3 linked regions of the Oryctolagus cuniculus genome follow. The protein of the gene in region 1 interacts with the protein of each later gene in a biochemical or structural test. Links are inferred from orthologs where the notes say so. Each region holds a gene or a part of one and is shown on either strand. Other genes may lie near its edges.

Region 1 (3,749 bases):
CCATCTGGGGAGTGAACCAGCAGATAGAAGACCTCTCTCTCTCTCTGTAACTCTTTCAAATTAAAAAAAAAAAAAAAAAAAAAAAAAAAACCTGAAGAATACGAAGAATACTCTGAAATAAAAGGGTTTTGGGAGCAATTACAGAAACTAGCCAGAAAAAAGGAGTGGTCTAGAAGCTCCTGTAACCACCAGCAGAGAGCTGTCTGAAAGGTTTTTTTGCTGGATCTAAAAAACCAAAATATTTTATACTCAAAGTTTGGGAAAAAGAAAGTATAAACTGTTTATAATGAGCCTATATAGAGAAGAGTGGCAGTACAACTAAAAGGCAGGAAGGCAGTCTCTAAGTATTTAGCTATTCCTAATCAGTTGGGATTGCCTTGATGGCCTTGGAGTTAAAATTTCAACATGCATTCAGGACATCGAGCAGTTTTTTTTTGTTTTGATTGGCCAAAACTGGTAGCTGACTAACTTCTCTCTCCTCTCCACTCTCTAGCTGTGTAATTAAATTTAGGACATCTTAGAATACTTGCTTTCATCTTTGCCTCAAAGAAAGCAATACTTAAACAATAATAGAAAGAAACTAATACTTAAACAATAATAGAAAAAACCAGTAGAGAGGACCATTTTAGATAAATTATAAGGAAACATCTCAAAGGAAGGTATAAAAAGAAAGTCAAGATCTGAATAAACCAGTGCCAATCATATAAAGAGCTGAAGAACTGACATTTGAGGGAAGTAATCTTGCACAACGCCAGGGCACTAAGATGGAAAAGAGTATGTTAGGTTGGAGGAGGTGGAGACGAGCCAGTCAGAGTAAAAGTATCACCAGATAAAGACAAACCCCACTTATACATTAATCCAGACTACCTACGATTCATTCATATTCCACAGAAACAACACAAATTTCCTAAATAACAGGCTCTGCACCGGCGCATTCAATATTCGTTGTTATTAACCAGCTTAATCCCTTTGCAGAACGTTGACAATGATGCCCATTCCATCCTCCTAGAAATAACTTTGTCCTTGGCATGCAATTCTTGGCTCTGTAGTCAATGTGTATTAATCCAGCCAGAGCAAGTTAGCTCATGTGTCCAAACCTTAATGATAAAAACAATACTAGCATCTACCCCAAAAACTTGTTGTAAGCATGCAGGTGCATGTTTAGCAAAGCACCTGGAACACAGCCAGTCACCACGTTAACAGTTATCAGAATGAATTCCCTTCCTTTATGATTGCTCCATAAGTCTCTTTCGATATTTCTTCCCTTCCCACTTCAAGCAGCATCCTTATCTCCTTGGTCTCATTCATTCCTGTGACCTAAACATACTGAAAACTCCCCGAACCTATTTCTTTCAATACTAGATCTCACCCCTGATCTTCAAGAACCTTCTACCATGTGCCTTTTACAGGTAAGTTTCTTTCTGTTTGGAAAGTTCCTACTATCCCCTAAGGCAGTTTAGATACTGCAAGGGCTCCCGGCAAACTAAAGTGTTTCTTCCAGGCCGAGTTTCCACAGGACCTGTAACTGCTCTTCTAGAACATTATCCACCTTGCAGTGTAGTTAATTATCTGCACCTGGGAAAACAGCTCTGCAGGGCTCACCACAGGGAAGGATTACCTCACGTAATTTTCCAAGGAAGATGTCAAACAGCTGGCAGAATTCGAACTCGGTACTGTGATTCCAGAACCTACATTCTTAACCACGAGGCTATAGTTAAAATCTCACTAAATGCTCGCTAACTAAAAGTACCAATTATGACACGAGGTTAAAAAAAAAAAAAAAAGGTAACTACTCCAATCGCCTAGTTGAATCTGAACCCTAAGGGCACGGGAGAAGCAGACGCGGAGAAAGGAGAACTCAATTCAGAAGACTTAAAAGGAAGTTCAAGGATAACGCCGCAGGGGGCTCGGAGGGAGTGCGGTGAGTAGCCGCAGCAGCAGCGAGAATAACGAGGGAGAGAGCGCTCACGGGCCGCTCTGAAAGAGCGCGTGGGATTAGGAGTCGGGGGAAAAGGACAGACTGGGTCCAATACGACTCAGTTCTGTAAATACACAAGTCACTGCGTGGCTCCGCACCCCTACCGCTAGACTCTGACGGCCCAGGCAGTGCCGGCGGCGGCTTGCAGCACGGATCCCCCAGCTCCTCTCGCCACCTCCGGTTGCCACAGCTTCCACACTCCGTTATCCCCGCAGCTTTCCCCGCTTCCGGTTCAAACGCCGCGTGAACTCGCAGCGTCCTCTCGGAAGAAAGCGCTAACAGGCCACAGAGCACACTCTGCTCATGCGCACAAGTATCACGCGCTTTCCGTCGCCCAACACTGCGCACCCCCAAAACATTCTGCTCGTCTGCGGAAACGCGCCTGCGCGCTGCCCACCAATGGCTAGCGACTCTGTGTCAGTCGCCCGCCCTCTGGCTGCTGCTCCGGCGCTCGCACCCCGCCCCTTCACGCTCTCCGGCCCCACCCCTCCAACTCTGAGGGCGGAAGTGACGGCAGTTCCAAGGAGAACGGAGGCGGGTTTCATTTCGGCGCCTTTCTTTCTCTGGCGGAAGCCATTGGCTGCCGTGGAGCGAAAGAGGCGGGACAAATTGCCGCGGGTTCAGTGCCGCCACTGGAACCGGGAGATGCGGCGTAGGAGCTGTCGCTGTGTTTCTCTGTACCTGCGTCTCGTCTCTTATTGTGGTTCGTTCTGCGGCGTCGATCATGCTGTTACCCTCGGACGTTGCCCGGCTAGTATTGGGTAAGCGCGGACGCTGGCGGGAGGGTTACTGGGCCAGGCAGAGAAGGAGGGAAGGCGCTTCGGAGCTAAAGCCTTTCTCTTGGTGGGGCAGCCTTGGGGTTTTGCTTCCCCGCTTGCAAGTTCGGACTGGCTGTGATTTTCCGTCGCTCGCTGGCCCTGGTCGCGTACGCCTCGTTGTGTGTGGATGCTCTCCTGCTCGGGCTGTTTGTCTAGGGGAGAGCCGGAGAGAAGCTCGGAGGGCAACACCTGAGGCCCGGATTCGGAGGGAAAGTCAGGCCTGCACACTTCACTGGGACCCCTGAAAGAGAGTTGTCTACGTGACGGGGCGGACTTCGTCGTCTTCAACCTTGCGCGTACTTTCCCTTGTCAGAGCTGAGACCAAAATAGGACAAATAAGGACTTCCCGGCCACCCAGCTTTGTAGAAAGACCTTCGTGACGTCTTTCTCATAACCCTTAGAACTCCGGATTTGGGACGAGTGGGGGTGGTCCTCCTCCTCCATCCTCCCGGCAGGACGTCCTCCCGTGTAGAGGGTTGAAATGCCAATTGCAAATTTGAAAGCAGCTGCAATTCCTATTGCTTTGATGAGCGAACAGTTACGGAAGGGAAGTGCCTTCCAGCTGAACGTTTTCTCGCCCTAGTTAGCTTTTCCTCCATTTGTGCCACTTGTCTGTCAGGGTGTATTGTCTGTGTGGGAGACGGTTTTTTTGTTATTGTTTGTCCCTTCAAAGAATAAAGAAGATTGTACTGCTAGCAACGAGAGCCACTTAAGCTCAAAAACGGGGCCAATGATTTAGATACCTGACATCTCTAAAAGTAAATGGTATACATCTGTGATCATCGTCCCGTACTGTCCACAACCAGTACTACCATTATTTTATTGTTTGGAAACCTCATTTGTCTTCTTTAAAAGTACTCCACCCTGTGGCCTAAAAATGGTGTTTGTGTAGGGCTCTTGATAAGAATATTTTGCAGGAAACATTAGGCGGAAATGGTTCCACCATCCACTTT
Region 2 (3,649 bases), on another chromosome or scaffold:
AAGATCTCTCCTTCTCTCTTAGTCTCTGCCTCTCCCTCTGTCATTCTGCCTTTCAAATAAATAAATCTTAAAAAAATAGTATATCTGTAAAATCCAGGCTTTAAGAAGCCCAACTTTTCTTTTGCAAGCACACACACTTTAAATTAAATAGTTCACTTTAATGGAAATATGTATTGTTGTAAAGATGAATCCATATTTCTAGAAAGTTAATGATTATATAATCCCTAGGTCCACATTAGGCTGCCCCTATAAAGATTAAAATAAAGAATACAATCAACAGTTAAATATCACATAATATAACCAAAAATTACAATCTTAGACTGGGTCTGGCGTGTAGGTTGCCTGACTAGTAAGCCTAATTCTTTCCATTATTATCTATAGGAGGATATGGGTGGGGAATTAGCATAGCACAATATGGAGAATTAGATAAGGTAGCATTCAATGAAATAAAAACTGAGAAAAAGAAATACTGCTCAGTCACTGTGATTCCACAGAAATATCAACTTCATAGTTCTTCACTTGGTCAACACTGTATCCTACTTGTTAAAAAATTCCAACCCCAATATCTTATGGAAATTCATACATGATTCAAGATTTCACATGAAAACATTATTTCTTTTTCCCACTTAAGCAAACCAAAAGCATAAGAACAGAATGAAATATAGGTGGTAACAGCTGCTCAATGATTCAATAGTATAAAATGATTGACAAAACCTAGTATTTTTTTTTTTTTTTTGACAGGCAGAGTGGACAGTGAGAGAGAGACAGAGAGAAAGGTCTTCCTTTTGCCGTTGGTTCACCCTCCAATGGCCACCGCGGCCAGCGCGCTGCGGCTGGCGCACCGCGCTGAGCCGATGGCAGGAGCCAGGAGCCAGGAGCTTTTTCCTGGTCTCCCATGGGGTGCAGGGCCCAAGCACTTGGACCATCCTCCACTGCACTCCCTGGCCACAGCAGAGAGCTGGCCTGGAAGAGGGGCAACCGGGACAGAATCCGGCGCCCTAACTGGGACTAGAACCCGGTGTGCCGGCGCCGCTAGGCGGAGGATTAGCCTAGTGAGCCGCGGCGCCGGCCAAAACCTAGTATGTTTTTGATGATATTAACAGGATGCTTCCAGGACAAAGTAGGCACTCCTGCCCCTCTATGAATATTAATCAGTTCTGGCTACCATATGCACAGAAAACAAAACTGCTCTCATCCAGAAGAAAACAACCAGGATGCTGAAGAGAAATCAAAACTACACCATGTAATAAATGGCTGAAGAAAAATATGAGTTTGTTAAGTTGAAGTTTTCTTTTTAAAAAAAGTTTATTGAAAGTAAAGAGAGAGCAAGAACGAGGGAGACAGAGAAGGAGAGACAGAGAGATCTATTTGCTGGTTCAGCAAATGCCTGCAATAGCCAGCCTTGGGACAGGCTGAAGCCAGAAGCTTGCAATTTCCATCTGGGTCTCTCATGGGAGGCAGGGACTCAAGTACTCAAGCTGTCTCTCACAGTGTGCTTTAGCAGGATGCTGGACTGGAAGTGGAGCAGCCAGGACTTGATACCAGGCACTCCAAAATGGATGCAAGTGTCCCAAGGGGCAGCTTTACCTGTTGTGCCAGATGACCACCCCTGGCAATTTCTTAAAAATATAGTTTCTGAGAGATGTGACTGAGGAAATCAGTCAACAGAAAAAGAATTAAGATTTGCCATTCAGTTCAACGCAAGGATAAAACTGCAAGCACTAGGCAAGTTGTATAAAGCTATATTCTTTCACGACTGAAAAGAGTATTTTGGCAATTTCATCCTTAATTATAGGTAGGTTACTCAGGATATAGAACTTCCTTTCTCTGAGAGTATTCAAGTAAAGTTGGGCTATCGTTTGGAAGACAGGAAAAATATTATATACAGAAATTTTTATTTCTAAGGGTCAGGTAGGCAACAAGTTTGGTCTAGACCTAGAAATGTCTACCATTAAACAAAACCTTCAAATTCCATTATTTATAGAGGAGGAAAAAAACAAAAATAATAATTTCTCACCTTCCTTTCTAATAATAGTTCTCTTCAAATCTACGACCTAGGACTCACCTGTGTTCCGGAGAAAAGTCTTTTTAAGTCCTTACAGGAAGACTGTGAAGTAAAAAATATGAAATGGGAGGCTGGGGTTATGGCCTACTTGAATGAATGTTCAAGTCTTTCTTTCAATAAGCTCAATCGCAAGATCTACACCGCTTCTTGGTTCCCTACAGTTAAGTAGTGCAGTCACCTTCAGTGGTCTACAGTGCCTTTACTAATCTTTGGAATCCAACCCAAAGGAACAATATCCTCAAAGAATAAGACATTCATAGTATAATCCCTGACCCTTAAGATAAACTTTCTGAACACATTATTTCAAAATTATATGCTCTCATGGTAAACCCTAAACACAGCCCATTTTATGAATGCTTATGTGATCCCTTCAAGTTCAAAAATCTCAGGTAAGGTTATTAAATTTTGATCAAGGTTTATTTTTCTCCAACTGCAGGTTCAGAAAATAATTACAAGTTATTACTTCTGTATTTCAATTTTCCCTGAGGCAATCAGCCTTATACAGTCTCCCAAATCTTCCACTTCATCTCATGTACTTTTTTTGCCAATTATTCTCCTTCTATGACTTAATTTTCTTTCATGTCTGTTTTATACATATCCATTCCTTTACACAAGGTGACTATACAGACGCAGCCCATTTGTTTACCATATGAAGTAAAATTAACTCCAAACTAGATGTGTCCTTATTTTCAAAAGTAATGAAAGGAGAGGGATATGCCTATGAATAATAGACACAAAAGTGGATACAGAACTTTTTATACACATACCTGAACTGTTTGGACTTGTGGAGACTGAATAACTGATGGCTGGGCCGCCTGAATAACTCCATGGACTTGAACTGTCTGCCCATTGGGCAGTTGTACTAATGTTACAGTGGGAGCAGATGATGTTGCATGAGCTGCTGGCATAGATACCTATAATGTTGAACATGGAAAAAAATTACTATCACAGATACCTCCTTGGGACTACTCATGTTCAATATGAAGTAACATTTTAGAGGCAAAAATACTGATAGGAAATAAACTAAACATGCAATTTATCATTGTTTAAAAACAAAACCTGTAAGTCTCCCATTCTACTTTTCAACTCCTCCCAAATGACAAAAAAGTTATTGTAATGTAATGTAATGTAATATAATGTAATGTCAAAACATGTAACACAGATTTCCTCTTAATACTAAGCACCGGTTTATTTGTATAGTGCTTTAGATTTTCCCAACTGCTTTAATATCCCCATTTCTCTTGTTGTTCATCAAAGAAATTGAAGACTGGGTAATAAGGATTATCCCCATTTTAAAGACAAAAAATAACTGCTCAAAGAGATTAAGTAATGTACCCAAAGTCAAGCAGATACACTAGCCTTGAAGAAACAGTCTGTGGTATATGTGTTAAATAGCTATGTTCTAAATTCTAATTGTTTTCAAGCTTGGACAAATTAATGTAAAGTAAGTCCAGAACAAATATACATCTTACAATATGGCATAGCTTTCATTAGTGAGAACATAGTAACAAGTTTTATAAACTGTAAATCTCTATTCCTCTCCTCCTCAAAATCAACTATTACTGAACTGGTAATAGTTGATAG
Region 3 (3,749 bases), on another chromosome or scaffold:
GGTGCCCCTCTTCCATGCCAGCTCTCTGCTGTGGCCCGGGAAGGCAGTGGAGGATGGCCCAAGTGCTTGGGCCCTGCACCCCATGGGAGACCAGGATAAGTACCTGGTTCCTGCCTTCGGATCAGCGCAGTGCGCCGGCCGCAGCGTGCCAGCCGTGGCGGCCATTGGAGGGTGAACCAACGGCAAAAGGAAGACCTTTCTCTCTGTCTCTCTACTCTGCCTGTCAAAAAAAAAAAAAAAAAAAAAAGAAAGAAAGAAAGAAAGAAAAGAAAACAAGTCTGATGACTGCAGAGAGCTGCCCTCAGGCCCCTCTGAGACCTTCGCCATCCAGGTGGGACTCCTGAGAGACACCCAGGTTCTCCCCTCTCACTGACCCTTGCGACTACAACCGTCTCTCTCTAGGTCCAGTTTTCTGTTTCAGTCCGCAGCTCCCTGCAGTCCAAGACCTCACCAACCCTGGCGTGGCATTCTTTCCAGAGCGTCAGAGCGTCAGAGTGGCTCCACACCTTCAGGCCATCCTGCACCGGGACAGGTGACAGTCCTCTGACTTGAATTCACGAATGCTCCTGAATGCTAGCACACAGGGAAGTCCACGGCTTTCTAACTCAAACCCCGCTTCTTCCTCTATCTACTCTGCTATCCCAGCATGCCAGGCGATTCCACCTCCGCAGGGTTTTGGCACAGGCACAGGCACAGGCACAGGCACTCTTATCTGGAGTCCACCTAGCAACTTCCTACAAAACCTTCTCCTCGATTCAAACGGCACCTTCTTTGGGAAGCCTCCCCGATCTCCTGAGTTGGGCAAGTCCTCTTCTGTGACTTGCGGGAACTGAATCTTATTTACCTTCAGAGGGCCCCTGGATGCCACGGTTCAGGGCTTAAGGAATCCAGTCGCTGCCTTGAGCCTATTTAGCCGTAATTATAAGGGGGGGGGGGGCAGCTCTGGTTCGGCTCTGGCTTGCCAGGCTGACCGCGCGCCAAACTCCCGGTCGGGCGTTCTCGCAGGTGCCCAGGCCGAGCTCGCGTAGCTGGGTCGTCGGCACGCTCCGCCGCACGCGCGCGACACCCGGCGCGCCCCGCGTCGCGGCGCTCCGCCCCCAGGCCCCGCCAGCCCGCCACTAGGCCTCGAACCCGGCCTCCGCCAGGTCACGTGCGCCGTCTCGGCCAATGCGCAGTCTGCTCGGGCCCTAAGCCCCTCCCTAGGCCGCGCGCACGTCGTGGGCGGGAGTGGCGCGCGCAATTCCTCTGGCCAATTGCCGTGCAGCCCGCGGGACCCCGGTAGTGAAGGCAGGGCTGCTGCGAACCCCGAGCGCGGCAGTTGGCGCGGCGGAGCCATGGTCGGCCACCTGAGTGAGGGGGCCATTGCGGTGAGGAGAGGCTGGGAGCGGTCGTGGGCGCGCAGCCGTGCGGAGCGGGGACGGAGGAGGGGAGCCAGGGCGGTGGGCGGGACAACGCAGGAGAAGCAGATGGCGGGGGAGCCGCGGGGGTTTACCCCGCGCTGATCGGCGCCCTCTTGTCGCGGGAGCCTTCCAGTGTTCGTTACACACGCTCAACGTTTTTCTGCCAAGAAAACAGACGTGTACTTTGTTCGCATCTCCCTCGCCGGCCGCCCTTCCCCCATCCCCCCAAACTTCTCGAGAGTCGTCTGTTTCCAGTTACTCTGTGTCCTCGCCTCGCGGCACCTGCCGTGGGTCAGCCTGGTCCCCGCGGCGCTGGGGCCTGTTGATCACCTCTGCCTTTGGCCTCTGGCTCAGCTTGCCTAGTCTTGCTTTTGATCCCCTGGCTCCTCCCCCTCCACCCCTGGCAACTTCATTACCATCCAGAAGTCAGTTAACAGGTTTCTCCGTGCCAAGCCCCCTTTACTCGAAAAGACTTCTGTACTCATCCGTCTACCTAGTGTATCAAAGGCATCTTAAATGCCATCTGCCCGGAGCAGATCCTTTATCTTCCCAAGTCTGGGTCTCCGGATGTTACCCAGCCAGAAACAGTTCACACGTCCAGTCCAGCACCAAGTGGAGCGTATTTTACCTTAGCATAGATCCTTTATTTATTTTTGGTTAAGATTTATTGACTTATTTGAAAGGCAGAGTTACAGAGAGACAGAGGCAAAGAGAGAGATCCTGCATCCTCTTGTTCACTCCCCAAGTGGCCGCCGTGGCTGGAACTGGGCCGATTCGAAGCCAGGAGCCAGGACCTTCTTCCAGGTCTCCCGCGTGGGTGCAGGGGCCCAAGCACTTGGGCCACTTTCTATGATTTCCCAGGCCATAACAGAGCTGGATCGGAAGTGGAGCAGCTGGGATTCGAACCTCCACCCCTGTGGGATGCTGGCACTGCAGGCAGAGGCTTAGCCCATTGTGCTACAGCACCAACCCTGTTTGTTTCTTTTTAAATATTTCTTGTATGTGAAAGGCAGAGTTGGAGAAGGAAAAGGAGAGAGAGCTCTTCCATCTGCTCCTTCACTTTCCAACATCCTGGAGCCAGGAGCCTGGAACTCTGTGCGGATTTCCCGTGTGGGTGGCCGGGGCCCAGCACCTGGGCCATCCGTTGCCGCTTTCTCGAGCGCATTAGCAGGGAGCTGGATTGGAAGAGGAGCAGCCAGGGCTTGAATCAATGCTCATCTGGATGTCAGCTAGAGGCTTAACCCCACTGTGCCACAACCCGGGCTCCCCACGTAGATCTTTTAAATCCATCCACTTCTTCCCATCTATACTGGCACCTTCATTTCTTGGCTTGACTACCCTCTTCCCACTATTCTTTTACTCTCTTCTATAGCCTTAAAAAAAAAAACCTTTAAATTCCTGATACATTGCATACTCTTGCCTTACGCGGGGCTCTTTTTTTTTTAAAGATTTATTTATTTGAAAGTCAGAGTTACACAGAGAGACAGAGAGGTCTTCAGTCCGATGGTTCACTCCCCAGATGGCCGCAAAGGTTGGAGCTGCGCCCATCCGAAGCCAGGATCCAGGAGCTTCTTCCAGGTCTCCCACGTGGGTGCAGGGGCTCAAGGACTTTGGCCATCTTCTACTGCTTTCCCAGGCCATAGCAAAGAGCTGGATTGGAAGAGGAGCAGCCGAGACTAGAACCAGCGCCCATATGGGATGCTGGCGCTTCAGGCCCACTGCATCACAGCGCCGGACCCTTACGTGGGGCTTTTGAACATTCTTTTCCTTCTGCCTGGGTTCTTCACTCCTCCCTCATGGGCTAACATAATTTTCAAATCTTAAGCTCAGTAGTTACTTTTGGGGGAAGTCTTCTTTGACTTCACTTACTAGGCTAAATTATTTTATTTTGGGACTGTAATTCCTGTGTGTTCCCTTGTTAGATCTGTGACTTTGGGCAGAACACTGGACTGTTTTCCTTCTGTAATATCAGGGTGATGATGCCTAGTACCTTTTGCATAAAGTAAGAAAGTGTGTTAATACATTTAAGTGTTTAGCTCATTGCCTGTTACATAGTAAATGCTCAGTATATGTTACCTGGGATTAATAGTCACACGTGTAATTTTACATTGATTGCTTATTGATTAATTGCTTATTGATTAATGTCAGTTACGGTCTGTCTCCTCCAGTAGGTTGTAAATTCCATGGGGCCTGCAGTCATGCTGGGTTGTTTTTGGTTCCCACAGTGTCCCCAGTACCTGGAGCAGAGCTGACGAGTTGTAGGTGCCTGGCAAATGTTTGCTAGCTGCGTGAATGATTAAGACAGCGGAAAGAAGGATAGAGCTGGATGGGGAAGAAAGGCAGGAAGGG

What was found.
Region 2: of the proteins of ATM (region 1) and CREB1, one has a biochemical effect on the other in vitro, tested with the Homo sapiens proteins (2 studies listed by BioGRID). The link is inferred for Oryctolagus cuniculus from reciprocal best matches to the Homo sapiens genes ATM and CREB1.
Region 3: the proteins of ATM (region 1) and RPA1 form a complex in vitro, tested with the Homo sapiens proteins (3 studies listed by BioGRID, with this or other methods). The link is inferred for Oryctolagus cuniculus from reciprocal best matches to the Homo sapiens genes ATM and RPA1.

The regions. Positions count from the first base shown.
Region 1 is NC_091432.1:99,975,676-99,979,424, reverse strand, and holds the start of ATM (serine-protein kinase ATM), read right to left. Parts: upstream 2,351-3,749; 5' UTR 1,619-2,350; intron 1-1,618. Other genes in the region: protein NPAT, read left to right, coding at 2,703-2,739.
Region 2 is NC_091434.1:32,233,829-32,237,477, forward strand, and holds part of CREB1 (cyclic AMP-responsive element-binding protein 1), read right to left. Parts: intron 2,980-3,649; coding exon 2,833-2,979; intron 2,108-2,832; coding exon 2,066-2,107; intron 1-2,065.
Region 3 is NC_091448.1:47,342,984-47,346,732, forward strand, and holds the start of RPA1 (replication protein A 70 kDa DNA-binding subunit), read left to right. Parts: upstream 1-1,182; 5' UTR 1,183-1,334; coding exon 1,335-1,367; intron 1,368-3,749. UniProt on the Homo sapiens protein: As part of the heterotrimeric replication protein A complex (RPA/RP-A), binds and stabilizes single-stranded DNA intermediates that form during DNA replication or upon DNA stress.